Linked DNA regions of Caenorhabditis elegans. The protein of the gene in region 3 purifies or fractionates together with the protein of the main gene of each other region. This does not show direct contact. Each region holds a gene or a part of one and is shown on either strand. Other genes may lie near its edges. The genes, in order: B0261.8, mtpn-1 and spk-1.

Region 1 (3,746 bases), on a different chromosome or scaffold from region 3:
CAATGAAGTGGCACCCACTGCCGACGGAAGTTTGATCTCCACAATGAGCCGAAAATCGACGAAATCGGAACGAAAAGCTGCGAAAAAGGAAAAGAAACGGAGTCAACTGGCTGATACATCCGCCCCGGCTATCTTCCATGGTTAGTTGTCTGAAACCATGATACAAATAAAATTTTAATGACGAATTTTCAGTTCCTACTGCGCCAGCCGATATCGTCACTGAAGGAGAAGGATCGACTGTAGGCCAAGGTTCTGAGATTGATCGTCGGACAGTTATCACCGACTCGCTTCCTTACCGAGAGCCCAGTGACAGTTAGTTTAGAAAAAAAATTATTGAATGTTATTGAGAAAATTTCAGAAGTTTACATGGGATCACCACCAAGCACTGTTCCGCAAGCTCCTGAGAGCAGCAGTAGCACTCGCAGCCTCGTCGGTTCAGATTCGATTAAATCTCGTTTGGAGTCTATGACTATTGACGGGACAAGCTCGGTGCTTCAACACGTGGATTCACTCACCAATTCAGTTTACTCGGCTGAATTCTGTCAAGAAGTGGTAAGGATATTCTAGTTATGAAACGAAACTAAAATAATTGAAATATCTTCAGGATTCTCAAAATACGTGTGATGCGAAGAGTCGTGAACTTCCAGTCGATTGTGACATTCCAACTGCTACTGAGCCACTACCAATCTCGACGAAATCTAACCCGGTTTCCAACTCATCGTTGACGTATATGGCTGATGTCAAGCTGATACTGCCGGATAAGCGAGATGAGAAATCGGAAGAAGTTGCTGGAATGAAGCAGGTATACTGATATATTGATATATCCCCATATCGTTCTATTATAATTATTTCCAGCTCAACGCCGAGCTTGACGGCTTATTGAAAACTTCTGCTCCTCCATTCCAAGTCTCAACTGCTCGTCTTCCACCAATGCTGAGAGAGCTTCCACCACCAGCCAATGATGAGTCAATGCTCAGTGGAAATGATGAATTTGACGATTCGAAGAACAATTCGGTTGCTCGGTATCTCAATGAATCGCATGAAGTGATGATGCGCAGTCCAGAGAACAAGCATCTTCGCAGCTGTGGATATTAAACCAGTTTTATATATTTTTACTGCACGATTGTATATTATTGAGTTTCCCCCATGATTTTGTAAAATATTCCCCCTAAAACTACTCAATCTCCTAACAACTATTTACGCATTCCTACATATATTTTGACGATGAATTTAAAGTTTGAAATGAAATCAGTTTCCTGTCAAACAAGTCTTGCAATGCAAATATAAACCTCAGTCTTCTTTTTTGCACCCATAATCATTCTCCTTTCCTCCTCTTTCTCTAATTTTTATCCTTTTTCTCGTTCACACCGGGTGAACATTTGTCCTCGTGTGCTGGCCGCTGCTGCAGTCGTCCATTTTCTTTTTCTCTTTTCATCCTCTCAATCTTTTTTCCACTTCTAATTCTCTCGATCTCCCTCAGTGTCTTTGTTTTCGTCGTCCGTCGTATGTCAAGTCTTCAATCCTAAATTTTATATTCTTTTGGAAATTTTATGAGCCAAAAACATTCCTGACTCTTAAAAACTATCCAAAAATGTTCAAAAGTGCAGCTGATCAACGATAATTTTTATTAATTTTAGGCATTCCATAGTAGGCAGGCACTTCTTCAGTCGTACGTGTCTGCCTTATGTCTATACGTATACGTGTTTTTTAAAGTCTAAAAAGTTTGAAGTACCAAGATGCGAAATCTTGCCCAAAAAGTACGGTGCACGATCTCGACACGACAAATTTTCGTGAATTGCAAAAAGTTCACATTTAAAGAGTACCGTAATACCATTCATAAAAAATCGTGAGAAAAATTTATGAAAGTTCCGCAGCAACTAACGTTTGAAGTTACAGTACTCTTTAAAGGCGCACACCATTTCTGCATTCAATAAAGGTCGATCATGTCGAGACCGGCTACCGTATTTTTGGCGCAAAAATTACGGTGTTTGATACATAGCAGTTCTCCTCGCTCTAAATTCTTCTAAGCCTTCATCAGATGAATAATAAGAAACAAGTATTTCAATTTCAGAACTATGGGAAGCCTTCTATCCACACCAGAGGGATCTAATCCTATCGGAAAAGCCATTGGTGAGTTATCATCTGTACTTTAATATTTTTACGATTTTACAAAAACTGGTGATTCAGGATTTCTTTCTCAACGCAAAAGACCAGCCGTCGAGCTCCAAGATGATTTTGAACCAGAAGTAAAAGTTCAGCGAACTTGTGAGGTCCAGGATGAAGAGGCGGAAGAAGAAAATATCGAGTTTGAGCATGAAATTGACGAGGAAGAGATTGAGGAGCAAGACGAAATTGTTCATGAACAATCTGAAAACGACCAAAACTTGAAGGATAGTGATGAAAAGAAAAACGAAATTGTTGCTCTCGAGAAGTCTACTGAAAAAGACGAGGAGCTTCCAATACCTGAAAAGGAGGCACAAGTGGATCAAGAAGACACTTTGGAGAATCTTTTTGAGAAGGAAACGGAATGTGAGTTCGTTAATTTGAAATTGATTTTTCGATTTTTCCTAATGTTGCTTTTTCAGCCAACAATACAAATGAGCAGCAAGAAAACGTTGAAACGAACGATACCACTTCCAATTTTGATCTCAACGAAGCAGAGGAAAGAGTCGACGTATTTTCAAACGGGCTTCTGACTTCAATCCAATCCACTCAACCAGAAATCATTGCATAAATTGAATTTATTAACTTATTTTTTATCAACGCCATTAAATTTTAATTTTTAAAATTTTTTTCAAAATATGTGACAAAATAAAATATTATAAACTTGAATTTTAGCTAATAAATTAACATATTATTAATAATACAGTAATATTTAATAATAAAACCATACTACGGTAGACAATGGCAAAGTCCGCAAACACTGTTAGGAAAATTGCGTACATTGCAATGATGCTCTATCGAAATAGTTTTTAGGATTTTTCTCTTAAAGTTTCTCTCATCATTTTCGCAACGCTATATTTTCTTTTTTATTTCAATTTAATATTAAAATAATCGCAATTTTTAGTAAACGAAGGATACTTTGGAGGAACCATTAATATTTTTCGAGCTTATAATTTTCTACCTTAATATCTAAACATTATAGTTCATTATCCCAATTTTTTCAGATAAAATGAGCTGTGTTGATAGTGTACACAGCAGTCGCGATCATTCGGTCCAACTTTCTCTGGAAAAGACTGCTTCTAGCAATGGGGACGAAAATTCAGAAGCGGATCCAGATCAGTCTTCGGGTGCGGTCAACCGTTCAAGATGGACTGAAAACGCCGCAAGATGCTACAAATGCAAGGACCTCGTGCCACACAAACTTCTCTTTGTCTGCCGACATGAAAAGTGCGCTGGAGTTTTCAAAGGAAACAAGAAATATGCTTCGCCGTTCGACTTTTATTTACATGAAAAAGTATTTTGCTCGGCATGCATCTTCACGGGCAGCCACAAGAATCATTCTGATCAGGCGGAGGGAGCCTACAAATTAGCGGTAGAGTTACAGTGAGTATGAAATCAATTCTCAAGAAACATTTCAGATTAAATCGGCTTCTACTGGTGAAGATATGGGACTGATTTACCAGACACTTGCATTTCTTGATATTGACGAATCAACTGATTTCATGATCACCAACGACTTCGGTATTCCACATCTTCCAGTGGTTAGTACTTGAACATTTATTACCGTTACCATACTCTTGGTT
Region 2 (4,906 bases), on a different chromosome or scaffold from region 3:
GTCCTAGCCATGTCAGCATATCAGATGTTCCATTTAAAGCTGCTTCCAAAAGGCCTTTTTTCTGAACATGTTATACTTGTGTTATTAGTTACGTAGTGTACTCACAAGAAACCATATCAACCCTCGCTGATTAAGGTCAAGGTCGTAGGAGGGAAAAAATTTGTTGAACGTGTCCTGGAAAATTGAACGTATTGATATGACAAAGTTGCATAATGACGTACTTGGTAACGATGTTCAATTGGACTACGAATAAAGTCTTCCTTGATACCCGGCATTGTATATTGCATTGTTCCTCGAGCATCTGGTTTTGTGGACTGAAATATTAGAATTATTTTGTTAATTTTTGAATATCTAGACACATTTCTTAACTATTAGTTTTGGCAACAATATAAAAGTTTGTAAATATTTCCTCATTTTCTCCATTTTCCATACATCCCGATATTGCGAAAATCGATAAAATCTACATCTCTTTACCGCTGTTTATCCTTGCCATGTACCCCAAAAAGGTTTTTTTTTTCAAGTTTCTCAACAAAAAAATTATAAATGTAAATTTTTTGAATTTTACCGTTAGGAATAATAATTTCTAGGCCGGAAAAATAGTAACAAAAAAAAATTGAATAATTTTTGAACTCACTTTCAATCTAACTGATTCTGGCCAGTACAGTAGGTGTTTTTTGTCCTCGTAGGCATAATTCAGCATTCGGTCCTTCAATTTCACCCTAGAATTCGGCATTGTGGTAAAAGAGTCGACAAGTGCACATTTGCAGTTCAAATACGAATAATCCGATTGTTGTACGCGATCATTGACAAAATAGAATCAAAACCAAAATGGAAATGTTTTCTCGAAGCAAGCACCTTTATTATTTATATGGACGGGTGTACGGTGATAAGACACACAGTTGGGTGATAAAGCAAATTTAAAGCTGCAACAAAAAAAGCAGAGAACCGAGACAATATGTGGATGAACGAAATAAGCAACGGAATAAGGAAAACGCATCGGAAACAGACACATATGTGACAGGATTTCAATGAATGGGGGGAAGGAACAAGATCGATGATTGAAATTGACATCACAATGAAACTAAAAAGCGAAAGAGAGAAAAAGAAGTGAACATGAAAATTCCACATTTGGAAGAAGATAAAAAAGTAAAAAAGTACACAAAATGCCGCAATCGAGATTTAATGGTGAATAAATTAGCGAATGCTTGATAAAATATACTTATGCATGTATTAAAGTAAAATATGCTCAATTTTTAAGAAGTTCACGAATGTCTTCCTCCTCGGTGCAGTCGATGAGTGCCGTGCCGTCTGGGGCGTGTATCGAACGGTCCGCACCCTGAAAAGCAACTGATATATGAATATTATGTAATTTTTTTAAACTTCAAAAAAGCTTGTATCTAATAAAACTTGTATAATTGTTAAAATGTAATTTTCATGTTAAAGGTTAAGTTAGGGCGAGGAATCCGTTTCAAACCACGGTTGATTAGGTATATGTACCTCATTTATGTTTATTTTTTATTAATTGTTAAATACTTTTTGAGATGGTGTGGCGCCAGTGGGGAAATTGTTCTAAAGGTGAAGTAATGTGCAAAAAAATTTTAATTTTTTATGATTTTTTTTCCAATTTTGCAAAAATCGAAAAACAAGTCATGAATAAATTCGAATTCCCGCGCAAATGAGTGACATAATTTTTTGGCAAAATCACGTTTTCTGGCTAAATTCATCGGTATTACTTCAATATTTATACGCCGCTTGTCAATTTTGCAAACATTTTTCCATAGAGAATTTCTAATAACCCAAAAGAAAATTGCGAAAAGAAGTGCAAAATTGGTTGCAAAATTGACTAAGGATTTTTATTTATGGTTTTTTTGCTGGAAAATGTTTGAAAACTTAATAAACGGTATTTGAAATCAAATATTACAGAAAAATTCAAGAAAAACTGTATTTAGCCAGAAAACGCCAAATAGTCAAACATGACGTCACTCAATTGCGCGGGAATTGAAATTTAATTCGGCAGTTTTTTGGATTTTTGCAAATTTACAAAAATCATTTAAAAAAATTAATTATTACTGTTGTATTCGATCATAACCTTCGATTTTCTAAAATTTTGAGAAAATATTTTAAAGTATTTTTTTTTCTTTATTCCGCCTTAAAAAAAAATGGCTATGACACCACAATGATCAATTATCATAATAAAAATATTAAAGAAAAATCTAAATTTTAAATTATTTTTTTTTAATTGGAAAAATCTCAGGTTTTGCCACTTTTTGGAAGTTGTCGATCAAAAAAATTTTATTTCGAATTTTAATGCCTACTTACGTTTCAACTGTTGATATTTAAACAGCCTCGAAATTCGAACACGTAACAGTGCTATGGTTTTCTCAAAAAGTAAAATGCCAAAATTACAAAAGTTCTAGATTTTTTGTAAGATGAAGAGCAATGATTGAATTTTTAGAATATTTGAAACATTATTTGATGAGTTCAAAAATCGCCTTTTTTTTCGCCTACTCGTAAATTTTTTGAGGCGAAAACTGAGAAATAGCCGTTTTTGACAGCGAATAAAATTATTCTGGAAAGTTTCACTGTAAAATTTAAGCTTACTAGCACACGACAGGCGCTACTGCACCATAAAATACTCACGTTTTGGAGTAGCAGCTTCACCGCGTCGCGATGTCCTTCCCACACGGCAGACAACAGCGGTGTGATTCCGTATTTGTCCTTATCCTGAATCAACAAACATAAATGCATATTGTTGAATATCGTGCTGATTCACCTGAATATTCGCTCCAATGCTAATCAAATACGCAATGATAGAAGTCTGTCCGTAGTCGGCGGCAATTTGAATGGCGGTGCGGCCGTTGTAGATCTCGTGAACGTTCTTCTCGTTGACGCTCTGCTTCACTGCATCGATCTCTCCGTTTTGTACGTTCCAGGCGACGGACATCTGGAATTGTTGTGAGTTTTAATAGAAAATGTTCACAAAAATGTAAATAGCAGTAGGTTAGAAACCAGTGAAATAAAATCTCAAGGAAACTTCAAGAAAATTGAGCTTCAAACTTTTATTTACAAAATTTATGATACGTGTTTTAAAAAAACAAAACTGTAACAACAAAATATGTTAGAAATTGACAATTTGGATAAAAATTTGTATACAGAACAATATATCAGACTGGACAGCTAGTTTCCGCTGAACAACGCAAAAAATCGATGAGAAAGGCTGGTGTTGTGTGCTTAGTGTGCGCAGAGAAATGAAAAAAGAGATGAAGATCAGGTGTGAAAACATTGAAAAATGAAACAATAAACAACGGAAAACGAAATATCTCTGAAGTGTTGTTCAATTTTCAAGCAGCCGACACTGGACTGATAACTTCCTCTTCATCTTCGTCGGAAGAATCATCCGATTCATAGGGATATTCAGACTCCACAAAATATGGAACACCAAACGAATCTGCGTCTGTGAGACGATCAATTTGAACGTGACGCATTTGCTCTTCCAAATGAATTCGTTCCTGATCATTATTGTTATTGAGTTGAAATATGGGCCAGTAATGCCTCAAATGTCTTGTAATTTCGGTTTCAACATTTTGATTATTGCCAAAAATCCGATCATAATTCATTGTGATCCGATGGAGCAAAGGTACACGACCACCAGGTCGGCTGAGAGTTTTTGTCATAAAGATTGGAAACGAATTTTTGAATCCATCGGTAAGTTTGTAGCCTGAAAATTGAAATATGCTACAGATTGCTCAGTTTTCGAAAAGGAAAAAATAATTCAAAATAGTTCTGAAAAATGCTGAGTTGTCTCAAAATTACTGAAGGTTTTATCATGTTTTGGAATACATTTTCATAAAGCTTTATCCAATGTAAATAATTGTCATTCTGACACTAAAAACGCATTCTTAAGTCTTGATTGAAATTTTTTGAAGTGAAACATTCGTCTGCAAGGCTCACGCACCTTGTCTTTGTCATGATACTTTTTGCAACGTTATCAAAAAAATTTGATAAATCTATTCTCAACTCTACCTTTAAAAATATTCAAAGGGCTCATGAAACTTGGCTCAACTTGAAGAACGTCGTTGTTGATTACACCAAGCATATAGACGAGAAGTTTTCTGAAAATAGACAGATTTTTTTCTGAAGTAAAAAATTATCCAATTTACATACCCTGTATTTACAATAATGTATTGCTCACGTTGGTATCGCTGTCTCTCATGATGATTAAAATGACGACTAAAACGTCCCCAGTTGTACACATTATTTGCATTTGCTACAATGTGGAAATCAATTTCCTTTGCGATTCTGAAAATAAAATAAGAAAAGTTTGAATTTTTTCGAAAAAAGGTTGCTCAGATTCTTCAAACAAACCAAGAACTTGAGTTGCAACTTAATACTTTATTTAGTAATTATGGTATGTTTAAAAGAAATTTCCCCACTGGCCTTTAAAAAGAATAGTATAATTTTTTTAGATAACACACAAAAAAAAATTCAAAGGTATTAAACCACTTACTTTTCTTGCCAGTCTGGATCGATTTCAGTCATAACTGCTTTTAATTTTGTATCTATTTGGTACAGGTTATACAGACAGTGCAAAACCATTTCAAATGGACCAAACACTTGGTCAATCTGAAATTAAAAAATTAAATTAGATTTACTTGCTCATAAATCCTTCAATTAACCCCTTCTGCGTGCACATCTGGTAGAAACTTCATGAGTCGTTTGAAAAGAAGTTTGAAAAGTTCCGGATTACTATTCTGGTGATGTTGCTCCTTTTTGGGACACACTGCAGCGAGGCACTAAAATTATAAACTTGTATGTTTTGATGAGTTTTAAAAACTGTACCGTGTAATATACGCAACGTTGTTTTTCATCCATCATTGGCTCTAAAACTGCAAACTTCATCAGCTCA
Region 3 (8,457 bases):
CGCCGTGAATGGAATGATTCGTTGCCAACTGATGCAGTTCTCGTATTCGACATTTTTCTGGCTTATATGGATGCTCAACTCAATTCCAATTGTCTCGTTGGAGATAGTCGGTTAGTAATTGTTTTCTGGAATATATTAGATTTCAGTTAATCTGAAAAAAGTATACTTTTATAATCCTGTTTTAACGTTTAATTCAATAAATTGTGTTAAAAATTAAATCAATTTTCAGCCTTGACCAGCCATTCACCAGCCGATTCTGTGTCAAAAATGCTCAAAAACCATCATCTGCTCAACGTACTCCATTCAGTTTCTATCTTCACATGGTATGGCTTATAATAATTCACTCTTGTTCCTCCTCACTTCAAGAAATGTTTTTTCAGGTTACAAAATCTCCTCCACACGCTGAATTTGTGCACATTGATGAAAATGGATATGCAATTAAGTGCAACGTTCTCCGTCAATCACCCAATCTCTTCCGTGCTATCGCTCAATTTATTCATTTTGTGAAACATGAAAATCATGGATATCTGGATCAGACCTCAATCGGACCATCAGGAATTAACATGACATACGTCCTGGCGTGAAAAATTCAATTCAAGTTTTTATATGATGTTTATTATCGTATCCTTTAACAGGTTTTTATTTTCTCCCGCTTTGTTTTGTTGTTCTTTTGTTACGATCTCTCGACGACCACCCACATGAATCAATTATTTTTTATCTCGCTAACGTTACAAAATTCAATCATTTATGTCTACGAGGAAACCGAGATAATGAGAGAGAGAGAAGGGGAAAGGAAGCAATGAAGCACAGTAAAGATTTGAGAAAGGTTTATGCCAAATAGTTTGGGTATGTGAACAGACGGAGGAATATAAATGAAAAAGAAATGGGGGGAAAAGATGATCTACTGTTTGAGGCTGATAGAAGCATATGATGTTGTTGGGCAGAGGATAAGGACGATGTTCGTACAAAATAATTATATTATACCAGTAGCACTAAAGATCAAAAGGCGCTTCAACGAGACGCGCACGAGAGTGGCGCTAAACGTGCTTACTGCTCAGTCACTTCAGGAAGAACGGTGGTAAAAAAGAGAAAGGATGCGGTGATTCGATGTAGAAAGTGACAGGGAGAATGGGGAGATGAAGTAGTCGGATGATTGTTGAAATCCGAAACAATAAGTTAAACACTGTCTAGATTCAAAACATAAAAGTAAACACTCTGGAACAAAAGATTGGAAAATGCTGAAAAAAAAAATTAGCCCGAAGTGTTTTCTTTTCACCTATCGTAGGCAAGAAACGAGTAAAATTTGATTGAAAAAAGGAAAAACATAAAGATGAATATCGTCAAATTGACAGGAGAACATGTTTAACTCGGGAGATGTGCAAGAGGGCGTTGAAGAGTGACGAGACGGTGATGGAAGTGTTAACAAACAGGAGGGATTCGTGCACTACTGCAAATCCAGCTGAAAGCGTTCAATGTCAGAAATGTCGGTCGTTTCATTGTTTGTTATCACCCCCGATGGACCAGGTCGATTCATGTTGAACTCCTCCTCGTCGTCGTCGTCGCTGCCGCCCGCAGACCTGCTATTGGCACTCCTCTCGCTGCAATTTGCGTTTACATCCGCGTCGGTCCGAGCTTACGAACCTCGCCGATCTACTATCATTTTCGTCACGGTAAACTTCCTGATGCTCATTTCCGTCGAACGGCTCGGGAATCAATCCATCCGGAAACATCTTGCTCAGAAGCTGTAAAAATTATAGAGAAAATATTGAACAGACAATTAATATAAAACCTCAGGTGGACAATCAGATTTTGGCGCTCTTCCTCCAAATGGTAACAAGAACGGATGTTTCAATGCAATTTTGGCCGTAGATCGTTTCTCCTGATCGAAATCAAGCATCGGACGAAGGAAACTTTCAAACTGCTGCGCGTCTTCATGAGACCACTCGTATTTTTGTCTCAAAACCTCGTATAGTGACCATGGTTTAAGTTGGTGAATGTGAAGTAAGTGTCCATTTTTGTGGAAGAACTCTCTCCAATGTTTACCCTTTTTGTAAATTGACGGTGGAATTGCTCCAAGAAGTTCGGAAATGTGCGCAAGATGATCTTCATCGCGTGAATAGTTATCTCCTTGGTGTGGTTCAAACAAATAGTCACCGGTTGCCAATTCAAAAGCCATACACGCGGTACTCCAAATATCAGCTGGAGGTCCGTATCCTGAACCGATCAACACTTCAAGTGCTCTATACTGACGAGTTTGAATATCGTCCGTGTAGTGATGATTCACCCAACACGCGTTTCCGAGATCAGCGATTTTGACGTCGATGTCACAATATGGATCACCAATGTTGGGGCCAACTGGAGGAGCAGGCAGGATACCACCTGGAGGCAACTGGCTCATGGGCGAGCTCAGATATTCGGCGGATGGTGAGGCCAAATCTCCAAACTTGCTCTCCGGATCACTGAATGGAGTCAGCGTGGTTCTATCGAAACGATCAGGGCTCCTGATTTCCACCTGAAAATATAAATGGTTGTGGCTACAAAAATGAAATATATCATACCTTGTTTCTGTTTCCATTTTCATTGACAGTATCTTCCATGGTGACATCTTCCACTTGTGAAGCGTTGAAGTTCTCCAACTCCTGAAAAAATAAAAATTAAATTAATTGATTCAGATTTTTTTCTAAACTGAATTCACAACATGTTTAAGCTTATATATGATAAAAATTAGATACAGCACTGATGTATTTTCTGCAACAAAGACGAAACGACGAAAAAATGCAGACGGCATCCAGGGCGCAGCGGCAAAAAAAACCGAAACTAAATAGTCAGTGAATTTTAAAATAAAGAAACGGAAGGAGAAATGAGGTACGTGTGAATATACAAGCGTCTTCCGGTAATTTTGGTTGCAGAGTGGAAATAAGTGTGTGAATCGAGGAAGAGAGAGTAGAAGGGAACCATCATCATGTCAACACAACCAAACACTCACACCAACATTCGCATTCAGGATCACCTGTGTCAGATGATACGTCTGATTGCAGACGCATCCAACCTGTGGATAGAGAGATGGTGGTGGCGGTGGAACCGTTCTTGGAGACGATGGCGTATTCACACAAGAACTGCCTTGAAGCAGTTGGGGAATCGGACCATTGAAGAGCAAAGATGGAGGACGCATTCGGACACCATTTTGCTATATATCAGTTTTATCGTTTTTGTTTCGTTTTTTAAAAAATTATGATTGATAGAGTATAATCTTGATTTTTTAAAAATTACCAGCGTATTTCCTCTATTATTATTGCACATCGAAACTTTTCCAATGTTTGTCAACTAAGAAAATACTTTTTTATTTCTTTTTCTATCGTTTCAAAATTAAAATGTGAAATGATATCTTTGAAATGAACAGAGATATATTCTTTCAAATTTAAAAATTCAAGTATTGGGGTGCAATACTATTAGAAGAAGAACGGTATAGTGTTCAACTTACCGGTGCATTATTGTATGCCTCCTGCAGCCCATTAGCGTCCATTTTGAGGCCTTCGAGTCCAGCCAATTCCGCTTCCAACTTCTCTCGTTGTTTTTTGGCCTTCTTCTTCATCTTTTTCTTCTTGTTTTTCGTCATATTCTCCTGAGCCATTTTCACCAAATGATCCGGTGCAGTACTGACAGCCGATCCACTCATTTTCATATTCATCTTCCGGGCAACTACAGCATGTTGAGCCATAATCTGTAAAATTTTGAAAAATTAATTCCACAATTAATGGTTTTTAAAAAATACCTTGATCTCTTCTCGGCTCATCGTGATTAGCACATTTTCAGGTTTAATATCAGTATGAATGATGCCGCACTTTTCATGCATATATCCTAACGCCTCCAGAACTTGTCTGCATATTTTCCTAACTTGTTCCAGATGAAGTCCTCGATAATTTGAGCGTATAATCAGCTTTAACAGATTGCACCCAAGAACTTCAAACACCATAGCAACGTGCTGACCATTAATTCCCGTAACAGTGAATTCATCGAGCAATTGAACAACCTTGTGGCATCCGATGTCATTTGGATCAGCACTTCGTACGGATAGCAACAACTGAAATTATTCTCGTTTTATATTAGTCTTAATTTTTTTTTCTCGAGTCTCAGAGAATGTTGCATAAAAATCTATTGTTTCAGCACTACGTTACTTCAAAACTAACCTTAATTTCATCAAGAGCCGCTTCCGTGTAATGCTCCGCTGACTTCACTATTTTCATGGCAACAAATCGTTTGTCTTGAGTGTCCCACGCCAGCCAAACCGTAGAAAAGTGACCCCATCCAAGTTTACGAATCACATGATATCTCGCATTGAATACATCACCAATGTTGACTGGATGATATCCACCTCGTTTGTAATCACGTGGATCTTCTTGTTCTTCATCGTCAGATCCAAGTTGTTCTCCAGGATCCTGAAAATAAATATGTATAAATACAAAAAAATGAAATGCAAAAATCAACTCACCATTGGATCTTGGAATGAATCTGAATGTCCACCACCGCCGCCTCCAGGAGAATCACTTCGTCCGGGGCTCACACTTAAATCGTCCAAACGCTCTTCATTAGCATTGACTTCGGTCCTGAAAAATGTAAATTAAAAGACAGTTTCTGATTGATATTAGTAATACTAATTTAGTTAATGGAAAATAAATGTTACTTTTTGTTATTTCTTGGAATTATAGATGGACGAGGAATAGAAATAGAAGCTGAAGCGCATGCGGTTCCCAGATCATACTCGAACATCTGAATTTCGATATCTTCTGAGTCGTAAGAGGTAGCACTGTCGTCCCCGTCGTCGCCCGTTGAGGAAGACGATGTCGACGAGGAGACTGAAGAATCGATCGTCCCTTCACTCTCTTCACCCTCTTTTGCTGACCGCATTTCCACCGGAAGGTTATCGTATTTGGATGTGTCCTCATCGACAAGAACATCTTTTTCATTTTTATCGTCGTTCGAATGACACGACGCCAAATCTTCAGTTGCTGACTCTTCTGCTTCTTGTGATTCAATAGAGCTTACCGAATCAATTGATTCTTCGGTAGCATCATTCACATGAAAAGAATCATCTTGAGATTCAACGTCCTCTTCATCTGAGGCAGATACGCAAGAGTTCATGTCTTCATCAGAGCATCTTGAACCATCTTGTGATTGTAGCGACTGTTCATCGTCCTCATTCGAATGATCATTCTCATTTACAACACTTTTTTGTTGTACAGTTTCACCCTCTTCGCACAACGTTTCCGGTAGTTTACTGACTTCGGAAATGTTAGAGGTAACCATTAGAGCGTCTGATATATCGAAATTCGACGCGACGCCTCCATTATCTTCCGCACTAGCGAACACTAAATTAACTTCTGTCTCTTCATTTTGTGTACTCGTATTTATTTCTTGGGAAGAGATTTCTTCTTCTTCATTGGTCGAATTTTCTTTTTTATTTCTTTGCTTTACAAAGAAATAAAATCGATTCTGGTTGACCAAATCAACATTTATATGACAGGTTACGTCTGCAGATGATGCCAAAAGCTGTGTACAAATATCAGTTTCAGAATACGATTCGTGGTCATTCAGTTCTTCCGATTCCTCTGAATGAACACGAAAACGGCGGCGTCTCTGAACGGCTTCATCTTCGAATTTATAAAGTCGTTCTCGATGCTGGCTGAAGCCATTGAGCCATCTACAGAATAGAACCACAAACATGAATATGACAGTGGGGAAAACGTCAGTTAAGCTGAAGGAGCCGCCTGCTTCGACATCATTTGTTATACCCGAGTAATCGATAGCTGAGAGCGAATGTACTGCTCGACCGGCCAGCCTGACAGAAGAAAACTGGATTCAAAAGCAGGCGATTTTTTTTGAAATAGCGACCACGTAGAAGCGAGTTGCGACGCTTTGAGAGTGGGAAGGGGGATAAGGAAGATCAGCGGCGCGAGAAGTGTCTCGAGAATATTGGCGGCGGCCAACGAGGCGCGAGGAGCGACTTGAAGAAAACGCGATCGGTGTGAGAAGGAAGAGTGTTCAAGTGATAGTGATGTAATGATTGCGGCGCCCAACAAGAGATAGAGGAAATCCTGGGTCTCTCTTCCTTGTTTCAATCTTCAACTTGTCGGCCAGGTCGCGAAGAGGAGACAGCTGACAGAGAGAAAAGGCCAAGGTGAAGGAATAGAGAAGATAGAAAAGAAGGGACGAATGGATGGATGGGTGGATGGATGACGGACACACGAAGGTGGGATCATTTGAGACGAAGTGAAAAGACAACCAGTTGCTGTCATGAGAAAAGGACGATGCAACGATTACACCAAACAACTTATAATCATTTTGGTCCCGGTTTCAGCGATGTAATTAAAGCATATTAAAAAAAAAAACTCAAAATCTCACCTTTCCACGTGATTTGATCCGTTTGTTGTAACTGTTCCATTTTTCAAATTTGCGTTTTTCTCACCCGCTTGAGGAGATGTAGGCGTGTTTGGTGCTGTGGGCTGAAATATGAAGATTAAAAAAGCTTAATGGCAGAATTCTATTAAACTCACATTCAATCGGCGATATAGCCAATGTATTGAATGCAAAATACTAAGCATGCTCATAAATTTTCACTTTGTTTTGTTTTAAAACTAGTGTAAGAAAAGAAAATTAGTGGTTATCTCTACCCCTGGGTCATTAGCGGCTGCCACTGGCTCATAATGAAGCCGTTCTCATTTTACTTGAGGCAAAGGAGAAATCTAAGTTAAAACTGATGTGAGAATATATTAGTGGAGGGCTCGCATCCAAGAGAGTAAGCTCGGAAGTGCGTGAAATGAAGGGAATGCGACAGAGCTGTTTGAAGTTTTCAAATCTCTAGAGGCCATTAGAAAAAAAGAGTATTCTTTGGGTTCGATTTAGTGTCAGAACAGACTGAGCTTTAATTTTTCGAAAGTGTAAGTGTTTAGAAAAAGGGAAAACTTCTGAACAGAAACCGAAAAATGCTCACCTTTTTCTTATTGGTCTTCTTCTTCCTTTTCTTATTTGGCAGTGGTACTGTGCTGTTTTTTTCTGGTCCGCCCATATTCTACACTTAAACACGGTTCGTTTCACTGAAATTGATACAAATAAATAAAATAGGACTCATCAAAATTCGGGGAAAACAAGAAAACACTTCAGAGGAAAATGTTTTTGAGTTTTTAAAAGTTTGCGGAGGTTAATTGAACAACAAAAATGATGATAAAAAGATTATATCTGCCCGTACAAACATAAAATATAATTCTTGATAAGACCTATGCCAATTTCGAATGATAATAACGCTTTCAACGCGGAGGGCTCAAATTGGCGGCCGTTTTGCGCCAGAAATATCGATCTCGAGTTTGATCTGCAGGTTTGCTTGGGTACGGTGGGTTTGGCTTGCTGCCAAGAAGTGTATCATGCGCCTCCGTCTCTTATTTTCACACGCTCTCTCGCCTGCAATTCTCTATTTACAGTTGGTTTTTAGTTCGTTTTATCAGGAAAAAAGCGCATATTATTGCAAAAGTACATCATTTCTTTGTTTCTACATGTTAAATATTAATAGAGAATTTAAAAATAATGATGAGTGTTTAAAAAAATAATTTTTTTACTTTTCCCTTTTTATTTTATTTATTAATTTTTTATACTTCTATCAAAACTCAATCATTCAATATTCAGAATATACTCATTTTTGTGAAGATGAGCAGTTCGCTGCAATCAAATCGTCAGAGTCTGAATCGAAAAGTGGCCGTTATGGGATATCCTCATGTTGGTGAGCGTTTACGACAACTTTTTTTTGTAGAAAATCAAACATACCGGGAGCAAAATTGAACAAAGCAATGAAAAAATTAAAACAACTTTATTTAAACAAGGACATTCACGTTGAGAAACTTTACAGGAAAATCGGCGTTGGTACTTCGTTTCACACAAAATATTTTCCCTGAAAGGTATGAATCAACAATTGAGGATCAACATTCGAAGCACATAGCAGCGTTTCACAGGGACTATCATTTAAGAGTCACTGGTAAATTTTATCATTTTTTGAGCTTACTGAAAACTGATATTAGATATTTCCAGACACAGCAGGACAACAAGAATACACAGTTTTCCCGAGAAGTTGTTCCCTTGATATTAATGGATTTATACTTGTTTATGCAATCGATGATAGAAAATCGTAAGACTTCCGTTTTTTCTTTATTTGTTTTATTTAGATTTATAAATTCAGATTCGAAATGTGCAGCAACATCTATGAAAAAATCGTAAGAACCTATGGTGACACAAGGTATTTGAGCAGAAAGTAAAATTGCAGTCAAAAATCAAGAATTTCCAGCATTCCAATTGTAATTGTTGGAAACAAGACGGATCTCAGCACGCAAAGGGTCGTTCGAGCAGAAGAAGGTGAAGAACTTGCTAGACAATGGGATGCGAAGTTTGTCGAGATCACGGCCAGAGAATCGGTGA

Evidence for each region.
Region 1: the proteins of spk-1 (region 3) and B0261.8 fractionate together in Caenorhabditis elegans (co-fractionation; one large-scale study listed by BioGRID). This does not show direct contact.
Region 2: the proteins of spk-1 (region 3) and mtpn-1 fractionate together in Caenorhabditis elegans (co-fractionation; one large-scale study listed by BioGRID). This does not show direct contact.

The regions. Positions count from the first base shown.
Region 1 is NC_003279.8:5,270,361-5,274,106, reverse strand, and holds B0261.8 (uncharacterized protein), read left to right. Parts: upstream 1-2,065; 5' UTR 2,066-2,075; coding exon 2,076-2,130; intron 2,131-2,187; coding exon 2,188-2,529; intron 2,530-2,585; coding exon 2,586-2,734; 3' UTR 2,735-2,842; downstream 2,843-3,746. Other genes in the region: C01G8.1 (uncharacterized protein), read left to right, coding at 1-140, 193-312, 359-552, 605-802, 856-1,095; B0261.7 (Zf-tcix domain-containing protein), read left to right, coding at 3,173-3,535, 3,582-3,704.
Region 2 is NC_003284.9:2,405,505-2,410,410, reverse strand, and holds mtpn-1 (ANK_REP_REGION domain-containing protein), read right to left. Parts: upstream 2,945-4,906; coding exon 2,774-2,944; intron 2,725-2,773; coding exon 2,641-2,724; intron 1,337-2,640; coding exon 1,247-1,336; 3' UTR 844-1,246; downstream 1-843. Other genes in the region: trpp-12 (TRansport Protein Particle), read right to left, coding at 1-61, 106-174, 222-314, 635-700; C43H6.4 (PH domain-containing protein), read right to left, coding at 3,342-3,718, 4,024-4,112, 4,165-4,299, 4,508-4,623, 4,677-4,793, 4,840-4,906.
Region 3 is NC_003281.10:9,455,248-9,463,704, reverse strand, and holds spk-1 (Serine/threonine-protein kinase spk-1), read right to left. Parts: upstream 6,178-8,457; 5' UTR 5,722-6,177; coding exon 4,682-5,721; intron 4,605-4,681; coding exon 4,490-4,604; intron 4,437-4,489; coding exon 4,188-4,436; intron 4,082-4,187; coding exon 3,773-4,081; intron 3,722-3,772; coding exon 3,482-3,721; intron 3,188-3,481; coding exon of another isoform or gene 3,011-3,187; intron 2,640-3,010; coding exon 2,559-2,639; intron 2,513-2,558; coding exon 1,790-2,512; intron 1,743-1,789; coding exon 1,642-1,742; intron 1,599-1,641; coding exon 1,445-1,598; 3' UTR 698-1,444; downstream 1-697. Other genes in the region: B0464.6 (uncharacterized protein), read left to right, coding at 1-110, 230-323, 381-584; rheb-1 (GTP-binding protein Rheb homolog 1), read left to right, coding at 7,696-7,768, 7,895-8,020, 8,074-8,170, 8,222-8,278, 8,327-8,453. UniProt on the Caenorhabditis elegans protein: Required for embryogenesis and germline development in both adult hermaphrodites and males. SR-protein kinase (SRPK) that binds directly to and phosphorylates the RS domain of rsp-3/CeSF2 in vitro.